Ovis aries: one gene and its partners. The protein of the gene in region 1 purifies or fractionates together with the protein of each later gene. This does not show direct contact. Links are inferred from orthologs where the notes say so. Each region holds a gene or a part of one and is shown in the gene's direction. Other genes may lie near its edges. The genes, in order: BPTF, SMARCA1, HMGXB4 and SMARCA5.

What was found.
Region 2: the proteins of BPTF (region 1) and SMARCA1 purify together in Homo sapiens (affinity purification with mass spectrometry; 4 studies listed by BioGRID and IntAct, with this or other methods). This does not show direct contact. The link is inferred for Ovis aries from reciprocal best matches to the Homo sapiens genes BPTF and SMARCA1.
Region 3: the proteins of BPTF (region 1) and HMGXB4 fractionate together in Homo sapiens (co-fractionation; 3 studies listed by BioGRID, with this or other methods). This does not show direct contact. The link is inferred for Ovis aries from reciprocal best matches to the Homo sapiens genes BPTF and HMGXB4.
Region 4: the proteins of BPTF (region 1) and SMARCA5 purify together in Homo sapiens (affinity purification with mass spectrometry; 4 studies listed by BioGRID and IntAct, with this or other methods). This does not show direct contact. The link is inferred for Ovis aries from reciprocal best matches to the Homo sapiens genes BPTF and SMARCA5.

The regions. Positions count from the first base shown.
Region 1 is NC_056064.1:48,713,158-48,719,004, reverse strand, and holds part of BPTF (nucleosome-remodeling factor subunit BPTF), read left to right. Parts: intron 1-1,236; coding exon 1,237-1,454; intron 1,455-4,233; coding exon 4,234-4,456; intron 4,457-5,181; coding exon 5,182-5,847. UniProt on the Homo sapiens protein: Regulatory subunit of the ATP-dependent NURF-1 and NURF-5 ISWI chromatin remodeling complexes, which form ordered nucleosome arrays on chromatin and facilitate access to DNA during DNA-templated processes such as DNA replication, transcription, and repair.
Region 2 is NC_056080.1:113,399,264-113,404,710, reverse strand, and holds the end of SMARCA1 (probable global transcription activator SNF2L1), read left to right. Parts: intron 1-2,111; coding exon 2,112-2,222; intron 2,223-3,254; coding exon of another isoform or gene 3,255-3,260; exon of another isoform or gene 3,261-3,323; coding exon 3,324-3,395; 3' UTR 3,396-4,054; downstream 4,055-5,447.
Region 3 is NC_056056.1:179,144,133-179,149,979, forward strand, and holds part of HMGXB4 (HMG domain-containing protein 4), read left to right. Parts: intron 1-2,671; coding exon 2,672-2,753; intron 2,754-3,717; coding exon 3,718-3,782; intron 3,783-5,005; coding exon 5,006-5,111; intron 5,112-5,565; coding exon 5,566-5,735; intron 5,736-5,847. UniProt on the Homo sapiens protein: Negatively regulates Wnt/beta-catenin signaling during development.
Region 4 is NC_056070.1:14,448,587-14,454,433, reverse strand, and holds part of SMARCA5 (SWI/SNF-related matrix-associated actin-dependent regulator of chromatin subfamily A member 5), read left to right. Parts: intron 1-706; coding exon 707-807; intron 808-2,539; coding exon 2,540-2,640; intron 2,641-3,408; coding exon 3,409-3,588; intron 3,589-4,858; coding exon 4,859-5,014; intron 5,015-5,112; coding exon 5,113-5,244; intron 5,245-5,847. UniProt on the Homo sapiens protein: ATPase that possesses intrinsic ATP-dependent nucleosome-remodeling activity.

The DNA.
Region 1 (5,847 bases):
TTATTCTGCTAATTTTTAAAGCATATTTACAAGCCGCTGGAGTTCAGGCGCATGCTACCAAAGGAAACTAGGCCAACTGAAGAATTGCAGGCCCTGTGATGCTGTCATACCATGTCCGATTGCTGGAATATGTTACTTCAGTGACAGGGCTGGCAAAGGTTCAATGTAATGAGTACCCAGTGGTGGGGGGAGTATGAGTGAGTATAACCTTTCTAAAATTCAGTTTAGTATTGTGTGCATACTGTGAACACAGTATCTTTGGGAGGAGTTCATTCTAAGGAAATAATTAGAAGCACAAAAAAGTTTATAAGCAGGGATTTCACCATGGTGTTATCTAAAAAAAGAAAAGGGGAAAGTGTTCTAAGGGTCAAAATCGATTTAATTTTATACATAATGCAGTAATATTAACCACCAATCATTAAAAGAAATATACACAGAAATATATATGTAGACACAAAAGGACAAACAGGATGCGAACATAAAACTTCAGAAATATGATGTTATTTACTAATGAATAATGAATTCAGACTTTGTAAGTATAAAACCAGCTACCAGATAATTACCATCTGATTTTTTTTTCCAGTTATATCAGGTTAAATGAGAAACAGTTTTTCAAGAAGATGATAGAGCCATTTCAGTTAAACTTCATTCATTCTATAGACAGTTATTGACGAGTAAATATGAAAGCATTAGTTAAGCACATTGCTCTAATATTGAAGATATATAGGGGTCCTTGACCTCTTGCTTCTCCCAAACTGTTTGGCAGATAGCTGTAAGAAAAGCTCATTTATAAATATAATTGGCCCAGAATATTCCAGATTATATGTGTTTTGTTTAAAAATTACATTAGTTAATTGTGTGTTGTTATTTTTAATTTGTATTCCTAAGGAAAGACTGCCTAACGGCATTTTTTACATATTCTCCTCCATCTTCCCTATTATCATTTTGGCTTTAGAGTCACAGGAAGAGCATTGTTTTTTTTTTTTTTTTTTAACTCTTCTACGGAGAACAGGAAAGGGAGAGAGGTTGTCAGTGAGCTGAGTGAAAACAGACTCATTGACAACCTGGTGGGTCCTTCGGGTAGGGGTATATGACTAAAGGCGTCTGTCTGTCGGCATCCCATAAGTCTTTTTGAAAATTGAGAAGATACATTCATGCGAAGTGTTGAAAGATATATCTCAACTCAGAGGACCACTCTGGGCACAGAAGCACTCTAATGTTTCCCTGTTTACATAGGTGCTCCTCAGCAGGTGGTGACACAGATCATCAGAGGGCAGCCTGTCTCCACTGCGATCTCTGCCCCTAGTACCGTTTCCTCCACACCTGCACAGAAAGGGTTATCTTCAGGAACATCCACTGCGAGTCTGCAGCCTTCAGCCTCACAGCCCCCTCGTCCCCAGCAAGGACAGGTGAAGCTTACCATGGCTCAGCTCACTCAGTTAACACAGGGCCACGTAAGTAATGTGACTTCCCTTTTCACGTTAGAAGTGATCTTGTTTACATCTGCTGTGAGTTTTAAAACATGGACTTATTTTCAGAGGTTTAAAAATATACTTGTTTTAAGAAATGGCTGCTTCCTAAAGTCAAAGAAAAGTACTTCTTAAAGGCAGGATGTGATCCCCTCAACTGTCCAGAATGCTGAGATTGTGTGCTGTAATAGCAGGGTGGATAACACACTGAACCACCAAAATTTTACTAGTTAACTAATTTGCTTGGGAAAAATGAAATTTGAGTACATCAAGCCGTTTCCTTGCAACACCCAGCGTTACTATCAGTTCTATCAGTTCTTCCAGTAGTAATCCATAGAGTGAATGTGGTTGCCATCAAAATCCCAAGAGAGGTGTTTTAAAGTTTGACAAGCTGGTTTTTAAAAAATTTATGTGGAAGTTCAAAGGATCCAGAATAACTGTTAATACTTTTGAAGAAAAGGAGGATTTGCCCTATGTAGTTACCTGATACAAAGACTTTAAATTGTAGTCCTTCACTAATTAATACAGTAAGGTTCAGACACAAGGATAGGTAGAGCAGTCGGTACAGAACAGTAGAAGAGGACCCATATGTATATGTGGACACTTGACATATGACCTGGATGGCAGTGTGGATCAAGGACAGACTTTTCAATAAAAGGTCCTGGCTTGGACCACAACCTCACTCATAAACTCGGCTCCAGAAAGATTAAAGTCCTGGCTGTAAAAGATAAGACTATAGTACTTGTCAGAAGGTAGGAAAGGCTTTCTTAAAGACAGAAAATATTCACCATAAAGGAAAAGATTTATAAATTCAGCATTAGAAGTAAGAACTTTAGTCCATCAAACATGAAAGAGTGAAAAGAGTGAGGGGAAGGTACACATGTAGCCAGCCAAGGATTGTTCTCCAGAAATGAAGAGTTACTACTACAGATTAAGATGGGGAAAAATCCAGATAACTTGGTAGAAAATAAGAATAGACACACTTGATGAGAATAGAGGAACTCTTAAATGTCCACAAATCCAAAAAACTGCTGAACTTTGTTAGTAATGAGGGAAATGTGTATTAAAACCATATATTAAGAGATTGGTATAAAGGAAAATGTCAGACAAAATCAAGAAAAGCAAAAACGTGGAGTAGAATGAACTCTCATACACAACTGATAATAATGTAAATTGGTTTGGCCACCTTGGAAAACTCCTCAATACTTCCTAGCAAAGTTGAAGACACAGCATGCCCCAGGTCACAGCAGTTACCCTCCTAGGTATGTTCTCTTGAAAAGTTCTTGTTCGTCTGAGCCCCAGAATAACGGACAGGAATATACACAGCCGCCATCGATTAGATCAGTAAAGCGGTAATGCCTTCCTACAGCAACTGAAATGAACAAACTACCGCAATGTAGAACTACATTGTTGAGCTAAATAAAGAAGCAGGTAACAAACATACATTATGATCTACTTGCCTAGGATTCAGAAACAGGCAAAACTAGCTACATTATGCAGAATTAGGGGGCTGCTGCATTGCCTTCCTGGAGGGGACACCAAAGGGCACCCTTCATATTCTTTGTAAATAATGGTGCTCCTGAAGTCATGAGCCTATGGCCTCGTAGAGATCTGTATACACCTCAGTGGTCACAGCGCGATGAAATGCAGGTACTGTATCCGTGAAATTAGCGCTTCCCTCTAGGGCAAAGGAAGGAGATGAAGATCAGAGCAGGTCACATGCAGAGCTTCTTGGATGCTGGCGATGATGACCTGAATGCTGGGTTTATAGATCTTCACTTCATAATTATTCTTTATACTTTGTGTTTTATGCAGTTTTGACTGTGCACACAGAAAGTATTTTAGAAAAGCAAGAGTGAATAAGGGGCTCATGAGTAAAAGTGCATGGAGCTTAGTAAGTGAACTTTGCAGTGTCAGTTTCGACTGTTGGAGATTTGGGGTGGATTGGTTTTACATTTGCTTCCTCATTCTCCCTCATGCTCCTGGTGGCTGAGGATGAATAAGTCCTGGACAGAAGCGGTAGTACATATGGAGTTTTTAGTTCCTGGTCCCCATTTTGGTGACAACGCAGACATTAGTGACCTTCCTCACGTGGTATTTGCATTCCATGTGTAGAACCCTAAGCTTTCTATGCTTCAGCATACACACACACCATAGATCGTTTGGTACCTAGTGAAAAAGCTGAAACTAGGAGACCTGGGCTTCTCACTGTGTCTCACCTTGGACTTGCTCTCTAATTGTCGGCAAGGAACTTTGAACTTTCTAACTTGAGTTTCCTAATTGGTAGGAAGAGTGTAGTAATATTTCTTTCCTTACCACAAAGTCACAAGTCTATTGTGAGAATCAAATGAGGCATGTCTAAAGTATGTAAAAGTTATAAAATAATACGAATATAAATAAGGTGATTTAAACTCAGAATTTTGTGGAGACCTTAGTTAGTCACTTCAATGCTCTTATTTTATAGACTGGGAGACTTAGATCCAGGTAAGTGGTGTTACTCATAGACAGATTCCTGGCTGTCCATGTGCAGAACTCAGACTGAAACTCTGGATTGTTAATTCATGTTTTTTCCACTAATCACCATCAGTCTTTTAAAATAAATGCCGTTCTTTTAGCTTATCTGTATTTCTCTTGGTACTATTCCATAGACATTGAAATACAGAGTTTCATTATTTTAAAGGATCTTTTCAATATAAAAACAAGTATACTTAGAGATTGATGTTTTTTGAATACTCTTTACATGTTAGGTGTTTTTTTTCTGTAGGGTGGCAATCAAGGTTTGACAGTGGTGATTCAAGGACAAGGTCAGACTACTGGGCAGTTGCAGTTGATACCTCAAGGGGTGACGATACTTCCGGGTCCAGGACAGCAGCTGATGCAAGCTGCAATGCCAAATGGTACCGTTCAGCGATTCCTCTTCACCCCGCTGGCAACCACAGCTACCACCACCAGCGCCACCACCACCACCGTCTCTACTACAGCAGCAGGTAGAACTTGGGGGCTGTCGGAAGTGCTGCTCGTTGGTGTCACAAGTTGCTGGGTGACCAAGGAGGCAAGAGGACTGGGGCTTTCCTTGGGCGGATGTGCCCCAAGCTGAGGAGCGGCCACAGCTGACTGGTCAGCCTCACAAGGGCTCGACCAGATCTCTTGCTCGGACAGACTCCCTGTTGCCACCCCTCTCCCCCTTTAGGAAATGAGGAAAGCAGGGGGTAGCGCACAGTAGTAAAACGCCATGGCGACCGTGCCCCCTCCTGCTCTCTCCCAAACTTGTAGTTGCTGAGTGAATCACGGATGTGCTCACCAGGCAGATGGTCTGTCCAGCTCATAAGCTAGGACTGAGAGCTCCCAAACTGGAGCAGTCTGGGAGCCTCCCCCTGCAAGCTGCTGTTGTTCACTGACCCCATGCCGTAGGAGAGGGATACGGGTAGCTTAGCCTGGGCCACAAGTCCGGACTGATGTCCAGAGAATGCGCTTTGCTTCGGAAGCCAGCCTTCCGGAGACCTCGCAAAACGTGTGGCAGGCAGCCATGAACATGGCGAGGTTCCCTGAGAGGCGAGTTCTGACCGAAGTATTTCTAGATGGAGCATTTCTAAGCTTCAGTCCTCTGTCCTGAAATGTAGAATTCTCTCCTTTAGAAAATCCCCTTCAAATTCTTCTTAAACCACAGTCTTACGTTCTAGAGTCATAAGTATTTGCTCTTGCCTTTTCACAGGTACAAGTGAACAAAGACAGAGTAAATTATCGTCCCCGACACAGGTGCAGCCAGCCAAAAGCCTGCCTCCAGCTCCGCCGTCGAGCGTGAGTCCTCCAGAAGCCCAGCCTCAGCCTGCGCAGCCCGCTCAGCCCGCTCAGCCTTCAGCTCAGCCTTCAGCTCAGCCCCAGCCCCAAACCCAGCCCCCGTCCCCAGCTCAGCCTGAAACTCAGACTCAGCCTGAAGTTCAGACCCAAACAGCTGTGGCCTCCCATGTCCCTCCTGAAGCACAGCCCACCCAAGCACAGTCCTCCAAAGCCCAGGTTGCAGGACAGTGTCCGCCTCAGAGCAATGGCCAAGGACAGCCTCCTGCTCGCGTCCAGAGCCCGCCACAGACTCGAGCACGCCCATCGACGCCATCCCAAGTGTCTCCCGGACAGCAGGCCCAGGGTCAGACTGCAGCCTCCCAACCGATTCCAATCCAGCCACACACATCTCTTCCGACACCTTCCCAGGGCCAGCCACAGTCACAACCCCAGGTACAGTCTTCAACTCAAACTCTTTCACCAGGACAAACGTTAAGTCAAGTTACTGTTGCATCCCCGCCCCGTCCTCCGCTCCAAGTACCGCAGCCTCAGCCCCAAGTCCTGGCTGTGCCGCAGCTGCCACCACAAGTCCAGGTTCTCT
Region 2 (5,447 bases), on another chromosome or scaffold:
AAAAATTTAGTTCCCAGTATTTCTCTGCTAAAAAGCACATTGCTGTAAATATTGTTTTGTAAATCTTCGTGTATATCTATTTCCTTACGTTAAGCATCTAGAAGTGGAATTGTTCATTCAAAGAATATGAAATTTTTAGGATACATCATTGATGTTCCCAATTTTCTTTCTAGAAAGATAGTATTTTAGTCTGCTTGGGCTGCCATAACACAGTACCCACATGAGGTGACAATTTCTCATGGCTTAGGCTCCAGGTGGGTTGGTTTCTGGTGAGGCCTTTCTTGCTGGCTTGTAGATGGTATCTTCTTCCTGTGTCCTTACACTGAAGGACTCAATCGTTATGACTTTGGTTAACCTTAATTACCTCCTTTTAAAGGCCCTCTCTCCAAACACAGTCACGTTGTGGGGGTGTTAAAGCTTCAACTTACAGATTTGGGGAGGACACAGTTTTTTCACAGTGACATCCCATCATCAGTGAATGAGAGCTTCCATTTCACCATCTTATTGCCAACACTGGATGCACATATCACACACATGTGAACATGTCTTTGCTAATTTGATAAATATATCATTGTTTTACTTTGCATGTCTTTGATTGAGTGAAAAAAAGTTCTTAATATTTGGACACTTAAAGTTATTTTGTTTCCTATTCTTGTACTTTGACCACTTTTTGGTTGGAGTTCTCAATTGTTAATAAATCCACATTTTTATTTGAGCATTTAGCTATTTTATATCTTATCAAATATTTTTGCTTATGCAAAAAGAAACCACTTTAAATGTTATTTATCCTTTGATATTAAGCCATTATTTACCTTTCAAATACAGCAAAATATACCAGGTTAATATATGAGCGTCCATATTAATGAATCATATATTTAACGTTCACCATACGTTCATAAAAGCTGTTTATAGTTTGGATGCATTGATTTGCTGGCAGTGAAATATAGGTAGTGGCAAGGTTAATGTGGAATCTTTCCAGCTATTGTTTGCTTTGAATTAACAACTGCAGCAGTGTTTCCTCAGAACTCTGATCCCACGAGGTATGCTTTGAGAAGAGACTTCTGCTGATTGAATGGCTGATTGAATTGCTTGCTTTCTCCATCTCCTACCCTAGTGGTTGACAGTGCTTATTAGAACTTTAAAGGCTCTGAGCATCCCTATAGAAAAGAAATCTGACTTTTGTAAGCTGAGTACTTCCAAATCGTACTTTGACAAGAGGACATCCCCTCATTTTTTTAATGTGACTTTTGTTAACTTTTTGTTTTGAAATATTTATAGATTCACAGGAAGCTGTGAAGAGATGTCCAGGGAGGGCCCATGCACCCTTCACCAAGTTTTCCCAGATGACAACATCTTCCATAAACACAGGACAGTGTCAACATCAGAAAATGGACATTAATACAATCCAAAGAGCTTATTCAGATTTCGTTGGTTATAGATGAACTCTTGTGTGTGGGTGTGTGTGCACATGGTTGTGTGTGTGGATGAGTGTGTATGTGTGTGCTAAGTTGCTTCAGTCGTGTCTGACTCTTTGTGACCCCATGGACTGTAGCCTGCCAGGCTCCTCTATTCATGGGATTCTCCAGGCCAGAATACTGAAGTGGGTTGCTGTGCCCTCATGAGTGTGTAGTTCAGTACAATTTGATCACACATAGGTACATGTAACTAGCACCACCAGAAGATTTACTCGTGCTGGCTCTATAAAGTCACACCCCCTGACCCCCTTTTTCTAGTCCCTGGCAATTTCTAAACTTCTGTCATTTAATAATTTGTTATATAAATGGAACACTGTGCTATGTAACCTTTTGAGATTGGCTTTTTTTCACTCAGATAGGGTTCATTTAGGTTTCTGCATATACCAATAGCTCTTTCCTTTTTACTGCTGAGCAGTATTTCATGATATGGATGTACCACAGTTTACCCACTCTCCCACTGAATGATATTTATCCACTTATCATATATTTAGTGGAATATAGCCTGTTTGAATATTGTTCTGAAGAATACCAATTTAGAAAATTCTCTGTCACAGAAGTGATAGAATCGAACAATTACCACTTTTTGAAGGTTGTACCTGGGTTGCAGAAATTAAAAGTCTTCTTTATTTGGTTCAGGAATTCCAGAGACGCTGTAATACTCTGATTTCATTGATTGAGAAAGAAAATATGGAAATTGAGGAAAGAGAGAGAGCAGAAAAGAAGAAACGGGCAACTAAAACTCCAATGGTAAAATTTTCAGCATTTTCCTAACTTTTAGGTAGATCCCATTTTTTTTTACATAATTAAAATGCCTATATTATGTTTAATGCTATAGTGATACCTATTATAAAGACTGGTTTTTATGAAATGCTGATTTGTTTTTGACAGAAAAAGAATTACACTACAACCACGTGTTTCCTATCTGTTTGTAGCGTATACGGTTAGGAACTCCCTAGTAACAGGGCTCAGTATTTTTAAAAATTTCTCATTACTTTTAAGCAGAAGTGTAATGCAAGTAAAATCCTCTGAACTGAGACTGGAGTTGTCATGGGGAGTAGAAGAGGGGTGGGGTGGGGTGGGGCTGAGGTTGAAACTGAGAGTTCTGATTTGATCAAATAAGTTTTCTGATCTTTGTGGAACTATGAATACAAATAAGAACTTTGAGGAGACAGCAAAGCTTTACTTGATTTACTTGGTAATAAGTTAACTGTTAATAGTAAGATGATTTTAACTCAGTCAGGTTGCCTTGTATAGTTAGAATTTCAAGTACTCTTTAACATATTATTTGAGTGTGGTTAAGTAAACTACCATATTTCATCAAGTCTAAGATGCCTTCCATTGTAAGACAAAGCATTATTTTATGTGCTACTAAGAAAAACTGCTGCCAAGTAACTGATTTGTCATCAATTCCAGAATGCATCCTGATTTCAGAGATGCTAAAGTGGGAAACAAGTGTGCATCATAGAATATATGAAATATGGTATTTTAGCATCTATCATAACATTTCAAAAGTAATACACTCATAATTAACATTTTTCCCAGAAAATTTTAAGTATTAAGTAGTTCTTTAAGCATACATTTTTAGTATCATGTGTAAGTAGAAACTTGATGACTATTTTTGATGGGTATTTTATGTCTTTTCTTAACAAGAAAACATGTTTGGAGGTTATTTTACATTGGGTTATATAGTTTGTTGGGTTATATAGAACATTAACTGTGAGTATAACATTTAAGTGAATATTCATGTTAAAATTTTTTTTTGATGCATTTACATCCTAGATTTAACATTGTTGGGCCATTTAAAAATGTGCATATTGGAGCAGAACATTAAATCTGTTTCCATTTTAGTCACAGAAAAGAAAAGCAGAGTCAGCTACTGAGAGCTCTGGAAAGAAGGATGTCAAGAAGGTGAAATCCTAAAGCCTAGAAATAAAGTTTTAAATGGGAAACTGCTATTTTCTTGTTCCCATCTTCAAATGCTAATTGCCAGTTCCAGTGTATTCATGGTACTCTAAGAAAAATCAATTTGGTTTTGATTTCTTGCATATTTTATATATTTTACAATGCTTTCTACCTGAAATGTGTAGCTTTAGATTTTATGCATTCTAGTATTTTTGTGTACTGTATTTTGTGTATTTCATGTCTTCATCTAAATCCTCTCAGTCCTTGTTCTTTTGAAGCTTGTGCTGAGGTTTTAGCTTTTCTATGTTTTATATGCCGCTGCTTTGAAAGAGAACCTAGATTCTATAGCTGTATTATTGTTGTTTCATACTTTAAATTTATATGGCTGTGGAAAAATGAATTAAAATGATTTGAGGAGAAAGACTTTTTCACTTCTTTGTTGCTTTCTTTTCTATTGAGTATGGGCTTGTACGTGTTACTGCATACTGTGATTAGCATAATAATTGTTTCTTTGAGGTCATCTAAATATTTTTTTCCTAAAGGAATAAAGGGTGAGAACAGAAAATTATTAAAAAAACTAATATTTGATACTGTGCTTGCTGTCAGTATGCATTACATTTAAATTATTCTCTAAATATTCAAGTGGGAAAGTATAATAAAGAAATGTCTATAAGAAATTTAATTATTTCCTGTGTTTTGTGCAGTAGAAAATAGTTGTGTTTACTGAATTGTATTGTTCACAACTATGTATTTGGTTGAAAGTTAAAGCTTTGCTTGCTGACTTGTGCCTGATCTTTTATCACATAGAGCCAGTTCAGGGGAGTCTGGGTATAACACGTAGATTTATTAACAACTCAGTTGCGAGTATGAAATAAGCAGCATGCATGCAGAAGAAAGGGGGAGGTCTTCCATAGGAATGCAAGTATGCTCAGTTCACAAGACAGAGTATCCGAGGTTTTATATACCAAGAGCTTCTATCTTTCCCACACTACAGACCCCCACACAGGCCAGTGGGATGTGAGATGGGAGGAGATCTGCTCCACACAGTCACTCCAGGCTCCAGTCCGACTGAGGCTCCCATGTTTCGTATCTGTACCATCTAGAACATGTGGGTTATTCAGCTGCCACCATAGGAGAACAGGAGTCTGGAGAATCACATAGAGGCTCTTTATTGCCTCAGTCCAGAAGAGACAGATGTCACACCCATTTATATTTCATTGTCCAAAACTAGTCACATGGTCTTGTGTATGTGCCAGAGGACTGGCAAATGTAGGAGAATAAATGGAATGCCTTACATTACTGCCTCTGCCACAGGGGCTGTCACACAAAACTGTTAGTGTGTGCTTAATCAGAGTCAAGATCAAGTTATGAGGAAACAGGGAAAATGGATCAGAGCCTAGTGTGAAATGCATAGCAGTTAAGTAAAGCTGGGCATGTGGGATGGTGGTGTTTGTTATTAAAACAAAATCTGGACAACTGAAGAGTTGCTCTCTCCCTGACCCAAGATCTTTTTGCATTTCCTCTCCGACTCTGTTTAGTGTACCACTGGCAAAGCTTGGTGCAAGTCAGCATCTTTCACATCCTCATTGTCGTTGGGGTTCTGCAACATAGGAATAGGTCTTCTAGAATGACAACCCATCGTCTGCTGGACTCTTCCAAGTCTTGAAGACTCTTGACTCTTCCATTGTCCAGATTTCATATTTCTTACTGCCGTGCTCCTGATTGGATTCTTTTTACTGTTTCCACTATTAGGAGACTTGTACTCTGTTGAAGGTTTGGATGAAACTGGGTTGCTATTAAGAGATGAGTTTACAATGATGTTAGGTCAAGGAACCCAGAGATATCCAAATCTATCCTTGGCTTAACCACCCTTGCTATAAGGTTCACAAAAGAGGCAAAGGTAAGCAAAGTCATACTTCACTAGCTGGTGCTTTGCTCCAAACTACAATCCAGAGCTCTTAAATCCAAAATAAAATCTCAGAATTTTCCACTCCAGTGAAATTAAAAGTTCCAGTCATCTGAGATGGAGAAAATTATACATTAGAGAGTCTTATTAATACCCACAAGTTC
Region 3 (5,847 bases), on another chromosome or scaffold:
GGTTGGGAAGATCCCCTGGAGAAGGAAATGGCAACCCACTCCAGTACTCTTGCCTGGGAAATCCCTTGGATGGAGGAGCCTGGTAGGCTACAATCCATGGGGTCACAAAGAGTCGGACACAACTGAGCCACTTCACATACCCAGTACAGGTACTCAAAAGATGCAGGCTTATTTTCTACACAATTGAATAAAGTCCTTATGAGAGCTATGAGAGGAACTCCTTTCTTCAGAATGTGGATTGGGATCTAATGTATTGAATAAGAGTTGTGATTCATTCTATAAAAGTCATTTTAGTTTTATGTTATAGCTGTAGATAGCCTTGTGAAATAGAGGGCAATAACCTTTCACAGTCTTGTCTAAGGAAACATTGTTAAAACTCCTTACAAGTTTTATAATATGGCCAAATGTCAGTTCTATGAATAAGCTGTCTTTAAAAAACTGGTCTGAAATTTTTGAAGGTAAATTTATAACAAACATGCCATAATTTTTATAGCCAAAGAAGTGCTATCTCATTCAGAGCAGGTACTTTGGGAGATGTCTCAGGGTTGTTTCCATTCTTCAAAAATGGTTTCAGAATTCCTTTGGGAATTCAAGTCAGAGCTGTCACACAGCTTTTTTTATTGTCTTAAGTGTTGGCTATGACAAACCTAGATAGCATATTAAAAAGCAGAGACATCACTTTACCAACATAGGCCCATATAGTTGAAGCTATGGTTTTTCCAGTAGTCATGTATGGATGTGAGAGTTGGACCATAAAGGAGGCTGAGCTCTGAAGAATTGATGCTTTCAAACCATGACACTGGAGAAGACTCTTGAGAGTCCCTAGGACAGTAAGGAGATCAAACCAGTCAATCCTAAAGGAAATCAACCCTGAATAGTCATTGAAAGGATTAATGCTGAAGCTGAAGCTTCAGTGGTTTGGCCACTTGATGCAAAGAGCCGACTCACTGGAAAAGACCTGATGCTGGGAAAGATTGAGGGCAGGAGGAGAAGGGGTGACAGAGAACGAGATGGTTGAATGGCATCACCGACTCAATGGACTTTGAGCAAACTTCAGGAGATAACGAAGGACAAGGAAACCTGACATGCTGCAGTCCATAGGGTCACAAAGAGTTGGACACAACTGAGCGACTGAACAACAAAAAAAGTGTTGGCTAGCCTTTGGTCTTTGAGGATAGTGGTTTTATGAAAACAATATTAAGAATTAAGTCAGGTGAACCCAAAGTGCGTGATTAGACTTTGTTTTAAACAAGGTGCAGCTCTGAAGTCATGAGACAGGCATGGTGTTGTTTGTTGTTTTGTTTTGATTGTAAAATATAACTCTTGAGGCAAACAAAAGTTTCCAGCAGCTTTAAAGCACCAGACATTCATGTGATTATAATAACTTGCAGGACCAGAAAGGACTATCTTGGAAGGAGGTGGAGGACCAATCATTGTACTTTGATACTTACAAATGAGGTTGTAAGGAAAGCCAGACTGAAAACATCTCAGTATATTAGAGAAAAGTTATAAAGGGATAACCTTTTAGTCTGAAATAGTAACTTTTTCTGTAAGGAAGCAATGTATTTTTCCCTTGGCCCATAGTGCATAGCCCTAAAGTTCAGGTGCCTGGGTCGTAGCCATTCTGGTGTTACAACCGGCATAGCTACAGGACCCAGACAAGTCACTATTTTTCTGAGTTTCCTTTTCTTCATCCTCAAAGTGAGGGGGTTGGACAGGTGCTATCTAATGTGCCTTTTCAGGTAGGGAAACTTTTTTCTTCCAAGTTTATGGTTAATTGTAAAATGGAATGCATGGTAATGTATAATACCTTCTGTTTTATATACACTTGGTTGGTTTTAAAAGCTTGTTTCTCAAAAATCCTGTGTTGCTTTTGAAATTATCATAATTCAATGAAGCATAAACATACTTCAAGTAGTACAAAACACTTTGTTGATGTGAAAGAGGTTCATCTTACATTGAGTACCAAAGAATTGTCCTCAGTTATTTATTTACTTTTCACCTTTGGACCACAAAAATGTGAACAATAAAATAACGATAAACTACAAGTGACAGTCAAAGCAGGATCAAGAAAATTTTAAGATTAGAAATCAAAGCCAGGGACTTCCCTGGTGATCCAGTGGTTAAGACTTTGCACATCCAATGCAGGGGGCGCAGGTTCAATCCCTGGTTGGAGCACTAGGATCCCACATGCCTCAGAACCAAAAGAAAGAAGAAGAAATGAAAACCAGAGGCACAATATGAACGTAAATTTGGCTCTTGATTTTCTAGCCCCAAAGTAAAGAAAAGTTATGTGGTTCTTATTTTAAAGATGAAAAATAGCTACCCCAGGGGAGATAAAGATTTGCTTAGCACTCAATTCTAAAAGAATTAGGTAACATTTGTAGGATGAATGAAGAGCTTTACAAACAATTATCAAGGAGCTGCAACAACCTGAAAAATCTAAAAATCAGCATCTGGTTTTTACCTTCTAAAAGTAAAACTGATACTCATCTCTGAGTCATAAGTGACATGGTTTAATAATTATCCTGTTTAAGGAAAGTTGGTTGGCAATTTAGGACCCTTGAGGAAAAAGTGCAGGTCACTTTTCTGCTTTGTTCTCACAGACGCAAAGTTGTTCAACTTGACTTCTAATTAAGTCTTACCCTGTTCTATTTTTATGTGGTACTAGCCAAAAAAGAAGAACATGTCGGCCTACCAAGTGTTCTGCAAGGAGTACCGTGTAACCATTGTGGCTGACCATCCAGGCATAGGTGAGAACATTTCTCATTTTTAGTGTTCTTACTTTCCATGTCTATCTGTGAAGCAAGGCAGTTAATTCAGTCAGCAGGCGAAGTTCTTCCCATGGTCTGAAAAGGACACAAATCTCATTTCTCTCCTCAACTATACAAGTCACTTTAGATTTTGCCTTAGTACACCCTGTCCAAAAGCACAGTATGTAAACATACAGTTGTTTCTTTCCAAGATTCTTCTACAGCTGACTTTTTCCCCAAACTGCCTCTTGGGTATGGAGTTGGAGTATAGGGTTGGAGTTGGGTATGGAGATGACGTATTACATTGTTCGTTATTTGTCTCTATATCGAAGTTGGTAAGGTGAGAACGCTACACCTCAGCCCTTGGACAAGTCAGGTAACATCTACAAATCTCATCTGCCTAGTGTGTGGACTAGCTTCTCAACCCTCTCACCAGGGCTGTTGTGAGGCACACATGAAGCATCAGAAAAGACTCAGATGTGCTTTATAAAGTGTGAGCTTGCTCTACAGTGTGGGGAGCACAGTATTACACATCTGAAAGATTGCTTCTGAGCTGCTCTAGAGAAATTCTCCTTTGTTTCTGAGCTCTCAGAAATTTGGTAAAAACCTAACATTTCTTATCAAATCCTACATAACATTTTTTCTTTAACCTAAGTAGATAAGCCATGTTTCATGGGATCATATTAAAAGATACCAATATGATGCATCAGGCATAAATTGTTAAAGAGTAGATGTGTGAGATTTTGAGCCTGTCTCATAGCGACCCAAACAGCTCCTTCCTTCTATAAAAGACCCAAGGGAAGTGGTAGGGTTTGGTTTGGTTTTCTGAAAGAATCTTGTGCTATTTAAATCTGATCTTCAAAACCATCTTCCTAGTTTTTGTTCTGTTCAGCCTTCTGTTTTGTTTACGGTTAAACCTTTACTGTATTCAGTTTTCCTGGGTTTTCTTACTCTTTTGTGCCAGATTTTGGGGAACTGAGTAAAAAACTGGCTGAGGTGTGGAAGCAGTTGCCAGAGAAGGACAAACTGGTAAGCAGACTTTATCACAGACACATTTTTCATTGCTCTGTCCTTCCAAAATATGTAATCCTCGTATGTTGTTGTTGTTGTTCAGTTGTTCAGTTATGTCTGACTCTTGCTTCCCCACGGACTGTAGCCCACCAGGCTCTTCTGTCCATGGGATTTCCCAGGCAGGAATACTAGAGTGGGTTGCCATAGCCTTCTCCAGGGGATCTTCCTGACCCAAGAATCAAACCCATGTCTTCAGCATTGGCAGGCAGATTCTTTTACCTCTGAGCCCCTGGCGAAGTCCAAAATCCCAAACACTGAAAATAGGGGAAAAAAGAAAAATTATAGATTGGTGGAAAATGGCTTAGAGGTCAGTAAACAAGTTGGTGCCAGTTCACTCTAGGTGAGGATTTAGCTGCAGGGAGGCTGTCTTCTAACCTCACCTAATTTTTTTTCTCAGCAACCTTACGTTTGAGCCAAAAGATGACCTGCCTTGGGCAATGATACGTGTTAAAAGAGGATCTAAAGTCAGAGCCCCTGACTATAGCTAGTAGTTAGCTATGGTCTGAGAACTGAGGAAAGAGCTCCATAGTCACAGCAAATAATAAAAACATGGGACATTGTTTATTAGGAAGACAGGTTCTGGGTCATCACCTCCATCAACCATTACCAAATAATATACCGCCCTATCAAAACACTAATAAGACAATGATATAGTCATACCTGAATCACTCACAGTCACTTACAGTCAGATGATATAAAGGTGGTCTAGAAATTAGAATTTCCATTTTGCTTTATTTAAGGTACTGCTCATCTAGGTGAGATGACATGTATTTTTCACCCAGGTAGAGTATCTTTAGTTTCTGGGTTTTGTGTCATGGTTATCCTATTGTTGGTGTTGCGAGCTGACAGGTTAGAAGAAATATTTAAACCAGATGGACATAAAGGTGAGCCAGAGGTTTCCTCTGTGATTTTTACGTTCCAGCCTTAGGCAGAGGGATCGCAGAGTGCATGCTGCCGTCTGAGCAGTAGCACTGAAGGATGTGCCTAGTCCTCGCCTGAGATGCTGCTGTCTCCACTGCCTGAAGCCTGTGCAGTGACCTTCCAGCTTAAAAAGAAACACTAATCCTCTGTCTGCTCCCCTCCACTGTTCCTTTTCTTTTCTTCATTCTGTTCTTCCATGACTGCTTTCCCTTTCAGTTTTTTGCCCTTTGAAATTTATTTTTGCCCTGATCTGATTGCAGGTTTGGAAGCAAAAAGCTCAGTATCTACAACACAAACAGAACAAAGCAGAAGCTACAACTGTGAAAAGAAAAGCATCCAGCTCAGAAGGTTCCATGAAAGTGAAAGGTAATGACCACTTCCTTCTCCTCTTTTCATTCTCTTCCCCACAGCTCTGTGAATTTTGCTTCTTTACTAAGAAATGGGGAGAGTGGCCTATATTAGAAGCAGATCTTGATATCCAGATACCAGATATTAAAGGTTGCCCCCAATATTTAGAAAATGTTAAGTCAGGAGTCAGCACACTTTTCTGTAAAGGACCAGAGAATACATATTTTAGGTCTGAGATCCATATGCATTCTCTGTCATGTATTTTTATTTCTTCTACAACAACCATTTTAAAATCTAAAACCATTCTTAGCTCACAGGCCATACAAAGCAAGTTATTAGCCAGATCCGACCCGCAGTCTACAGTTGTAGCATATGCCTGGTGGAGCTCATAAAAAGGGAAGACCAGGAAGAACAGTTCTGTGATTCAAGGCCCTGGGCAAGCTTTATCGCTCTGTTTCTTCTCTGTTCTCAGCTGCTTCTATGGGAGTACTGTCACCCCAGAAGAAATCCCCTCCCACCGCCATGCTGTTACCTGCCTCGCCAGCCAAAGCTCCTGAGACAGAGCCCATTGATGTGGCTGCTCACCTCCAGCTGCTGGGAGAGTCCCTGAGCCTCATTGGACACCGCCTGCAGGAAACTGAGGTAAGGGTGCCATCAGCAGCAAGCTCCAGCTGCTGGTAGAGTCTGGACCCGTGTGCTCATTCCACATACACGTAGTGAGCGACTGCTGTGTGCTGCTACACCGGGTGCTCAG
Region 4 (5,847 bases), on another chromosome or scaffold:
CATTTCTGAGGAATGTTTCTCTTTCTGGGAAGGCTGATTATCTTTCCCACAAAGCATGTTGTTTTAATAGAAATCAAGCAATAATTTAGATATAGAGATCACAAGAGTGGAATATAATCTACTGTTTTCTAATTTAAATGAAAGTATTTGTTGAAAGTATATAGGTATAAGTGGAAACTTGAAAACTGGGGAGTAAGTAGTTTTACTAACCTGAGTCCTTTAGAGATTAAGAAATCTGGCAATATTATACCTACAAAAAATTAGTTTTTAAGAGACTGTATGTGACTCGGTTGGGATGTAAAATCTGGGCATGTATATTTAAAAAGCTTCAAGTAATTCTGATGAATCTCTAGTTAAAGAGTCATTGCCTTAAGCCCTAAGTCTCTGTTCTGCAAATTCTGTAGCTTTTGGTGAAAGTTGTAGTTTTTAAAATGTGATTTCTGGGGGAACTATTTTTGGAGTGGGAGCAAAATACTTCACATTAAAATATAAACTATGAGGTTTTTCTTACTGCATACTTCATTGAAATTAGATTATCACATTTATGTTTATCAGGTTCTGGTTAACCTAAGGTATTACTCTATAGTCTTAATTTACATGCCTCTTAAGATACTGTGAAATATTGGTCAGCCTCTTGACTACTATGTTGAAAGCTGGTAATTAAAGCCAAGACTCAGATGGCTTGATTTTATTTTACACTTGGCAGCTATCGACACCGAAGAACAGAGCAAGAAGAAGATGAAGAATTATTAACAGAAAGCTCCAAAGCAACCAATGTTTGCACTCGGTTTGAAGACTCTCCATCATGTATGTTATATATATTTAATTACTTAATCTTTAAAACATCCACTTGTAGCCTTTGGTTAATGTTGGGGTTTTTCTTGGCTATAATTTATAAAGGGAATTTTAAGTAATCTTTGAAATTTATTGATTGTGAAATGAACTTCAGATACTTTTTTGGCTAGAAGTGATAGTATATCATTATGATAGTGATGCTGTATTTCAAAAGGGCATAAATCACCATTGTGCTTGATGTTTCCTGAATGTATATGTAAAAATGGGAATGGAATTTGCCATATATTTGCCCTAGAGAAGAAAGATGTGTAGGAAAAGGTAGTTATTAAAGACTTTTTGTTACTCATCTCCTGATTTTGTCTTTGTTTTAAAGTTTATAAATGGTTTTCCAAAAGAAAACATGGTTAACCAGGTTTAGGTTTTACTTATGTATAATCTTGGGTTTCCCAAGTGGCATTAGTGGTAAAGAGTCTGCCTGCCAGTGCTAGAGACTGACCCATGGGTTCGATCCCTGGGTCAGGAGATCCCCTGGAGGAGGTCATGGCAACCACTCTGGTATTCTTGCCTGGAGAGTCCCATGGACAGAGGACAGTCCATGTAGCCATGTCAGGCTGCAGTCCGTGAAGTTGCAGAGTCGGATATGACTGAAGCGACGTAGCATGCGTGCATGTATAATCTTGGTTGTCTGGTGGCACAGTTTTTTTACTGAGCCCAGTAATTTTTTTTCCCTGATCTTTCTCTTTCTCACTTGATGACAAGTTTGTACGATCATAGTGGTTGTGAGCAAAAGAAAAATTTATAGTAGTACAGGGTTTATAATTTGGATTGGATGTTTTAATAATTAACTGTCATCTTGAACTCTTAGCAGACTAAACTTCAAGGAGGGTAGGATCTGGTTAGAAATGCATTAGTCTGGTTAAAGTGCGTATCTCCAGATTTTTTTTTTTCTGTTGGCTACAGAGTACCCAGTTTTCACTTCTTATTATGAAGCTAGAGGCCAGAGCCAGATTTGTGGTGCAGAGAGAAAGGAAATTTGAAGTATTTGAGTTGACTCTTTCTCACATTCTTACAGTGTAACCAGTTTTCCTAGTGTTGACTAACATTTCGTCTCAGAGCAGTGTTTTCAAAAGGGATGGAATATAGAATATACATGTATTTTTTTTTTAAGTTGGGTTATTTGTGATCCATATACTTAGTAATTATTCTGGGATGGGAAATGTAAACCCTGAAAGATACCATTTCTTTTTGTAGGATCTCTTGGAAAAGCAAAGTAAGGAAGGGTAAAGGAAAAACAATCTTTTATTAATAATTTTTATTTATTTCCCCTTTGTTAAGAGAAAAACACAGGCCCCAGCAAACCTCTGTTTTGGTCATCAGGGAAGGTGAAAACTCTTGGTTAGAAACACTTGCGCTGACTTTGAGAAAGGAAATAGGCCGGAGAGTCTCTAGAACCGATACATGGTAACATAAGGACTGAGCGGCTGGGGGCCTCAGATGCCTTCCCCCTTCCGTCGTGTTTCTTGTCTTCCATATCCATCTGCTCCTTCTCTACTCCACACCACAGCAGCTACCTTTCCTGACTTGGAACTTGCCACATTCCCGTTCTTAAAATCTAATGAAGAAGGCACAGTCAAAATAAACGTGTATAGGCCCAAGTTAAACCTCTGAGTGTCAAATGAAGGAGGGGCTGCCCACCTGTATTCTTGTCTTTAAAATGTGCATGTCATTTTTCTTTTGTTCTTAGATGTCAAATGGGGTAAACTGAGAGATTATCAAGTCCGAGGATTAAATTGGCTCATTTCTTTGTATGAGAATGGCATCAATGGTATCCTTGCAGATGAAATGGTATGTGTTTGATAGCTTTTGTAGAAGTCCACGTTTTATAATTTAAAACCTTGTATACCATTTAGGTTTATAAAAGTTAAGACTTGTAAGATATAGTTTATTGATTATACTGTAGACTGTTAGCAAGCTAATCCTGTGTCAGACTAATAATGAGCTCACTTTAGTTGCCTAAGTGGAATCTATATCTATACTTCAGTTGTGAGGAATTATTATCTATGAAAGTGTAATAAACTTTAAAATACTACGTTTTGAGAAGCATGCCTTTGGTTGACTTTTCTAATATGATTTGGCCATCTCCCCTCACTCCCCCCACTTCTCTGAGACACGGGGGATTAGTTGGACCTCATCAGTAAATATTTTCTCTGTGATGGCACCTTGTACCGTTCTATCTTGTAAAACATTGTATCTTGTTTACTATTTACTAGTTATATAGTGAATGTTCTAAGTTTCTGTATAGCTACGGTGCTAAGACAATTGCTTGGAGAAAGTAATGGAGTCAGAAGAAATTGGTTCTGGTTCTAGCTCTGCTGGGTGACCCTGGGAAAGCTTATATCTGAGCTTTGGGGGGTTGGTAATGGTACATCCTTCACAGACTGGTGAAGGTTAAATGCCGTAACATTGTCCACTTGACACAGGTCAAGTTTCTGCTATTTGTTAGGCGTATATACAGCTTTTCTTTTAAATGTTTCTGTACCAGTCAGGAAATAATAAATATGGGAGTCTGTTTTGTTCCGTGCTTCATAGCGTTGTGGTTATTGTCTCTTTCAGGGCCTGGGAAAGACGCTTCAAACAATTTCTCTTCTTGGGTACATGAAACACTATCGAAACATTCCTGGTCCTCACATGGTTTTGGTGCCTAAGTCTACGTTACACAACTGGATGAGTGAATTCAAGAGATGGGTACCAACACTTAGGTCTGTTTGTTTAATAGGCGATAAAGAACAGAGGGTAAGTTTCTCATATTTTGTTACATTGTTGATATTAAAAGAATTTGAATTTAGGTTTGGGGAAAGGGGATAACTAGAGGAGGGATAAAAGAAGAGAAAGGGTCCCAATAATAAGCCTGGTCTTCATAAATATTAGTAATTTGTAAGTGGAATATTATCTTGATGGCTAAGATTCATACTGGGGAAAAAGGAATTGTAGACTGTAGAAAGCTATAAGAATATAGTTTGTTCCGCCTGCTTTTAGGGGGTGGTTATAAAATTGAAGGCTTTATGCCCATTCTAGAGCAATTTCTTCATAATAATGTAAGTAGTAGAAATGTAAATAGTAACTTGACAAGTTGGTATCATATCTATCAAAATAAGTTAAAATATTGATCAGTTGATACATCCTTTTGGGGAGAGGAAATGGAAATAATGAGGGCTTCCCTAGTGGCACAGTGGTAAAGAATCTGCCTGTCTATGCAGGAGACATGGGTTGATCCTTGAGTCAGGAAGATGCCCTGGAGAAGGAAATGGCAACCCACTCCATATTCTTGCCTTGGAGATCCTGTGGACAGAGGAGCCTTGTGGGTTACAGTCCATGGAGTCACAAAATCAGGCAACTTAGCGACTAAAATAGCACCACCAACAATGGAAATAATTGTCACTATGAAGAATATAAAATTTGGATTAAAAAATGGACTCATACTGTATTGAAGGACTGTGTATTAAGTTTTGTTTTCCCTTCATTCCGCTATCAGTATGACTCTAGATTTCTTTTCTCCCTTTTTAGCTACTTCGGGTATTTTAAGTTTCAGAATCCTGAAACCCAGTGGTTTAACCAGTCTTTGCTTTAGTTTCTTCACCTGTAAAATGAGAAAATTCATAGCAATGTCTTAAAAGATCTGTAAACTTAAAATGAATGAAAATGCTTACTGCAAACTAGTCTTTAGTCCTTATCTATCTTTATGTCAGAAAACTCTTTATCCTTTTCTAAACCTGTGTCCAAAAAATTTCAACACTTAGTGGAATTGTGGAAAGAAGACATTTTAAGAATTCGTCTATCAACTTTTGCACCAAATAATTTTGTCAGTTATTTATTACATGGCTGTGACATAGGATTAATGAAGTTACTTTGAGCTAGTTGTAGCTGCTTGTGTACTATAGGTAACTCTTAATTCTTTTTTAGTATTCCGCCCCCCCTCCTGCCCCCCGCCTATGCTCTTGTTATCAATAAATTTAATGTATAGTTTATTTCTGCATGATATAATTTTTTTTCTTTTGTTAAACAGGCTGCTTTTGTCAGAGATGTTTTATTACCAGGAGAATGGGATGTATGTGTAACTTCTTATGAAATGCTTATTAAAGAGAAGTCTGTTTTCAAAAAATTTAATTGGAGGTACTTAGTTATTGATGAAGCTCACAGGATCAAAAATGAAAAATCCAAGGTAATTTGATATTTAGATTTGAAAATCATGTGTGCCTTCATTTAGAATTTGATCCATATGCAGACTATTCATTCTAATGATGAATTTGGTTCTTTCAGTTGTCAGAAATAGTGAGGGAATTCAAGACTACAAATCGACTATTATTAACTGGAACACCTCTTCAAAACAACTTGCATGAACTTTGGTCACTTCTTAATTTTTTGTTACCAGATGTCTTTAATTCAGCTGATGTAAGTACTTCTTACTATTTTCTGGTTGGAGTAGTTTTTCGATACTTAATATTTTTGTAATAGAACTGGCCTGCTTCAAGAAACATACAAACTTATATAGAAAGAGATGAGAATTTCGGTTACCAGAGGTGGGAACCAGGGGAGAAGCAGAACTGGATGAAGGCAGTTAAAGGGTGCAGAGTTTATTGTACTTATTTATCTTCCACTTACAAGATTATTAAGTATTTAAGATGTGCAGCATGATAAATGTAACACTGCTGCATGTTGGATATGAAGATTGTTAAGAGTAAATAATGACTAAAAGTAAATAACAGTAAATCCTGAAGTTCTCTTCACAATATTTTTTCTGTTTATCAAAAATGGGATATCTGTATTAAATGATGGATTTTTTTAAACATTGTCATTGCGCTGTACACTTCAAACCTCATCCAGAGCTGTCAGTTTATCTCGGTAAAACCAGAAAAATTAAAGGATTTGGCCTACCTTTTCGTACTGCTTGAGATAATCGTCACTTTTCACACTTCTAGGTAGTTAGCTGCCTGTAACCTACCAAGTTTCGTTTGCATCCTGAGAATTTACTTTTGTGCCTTTGATTTCAGTCTC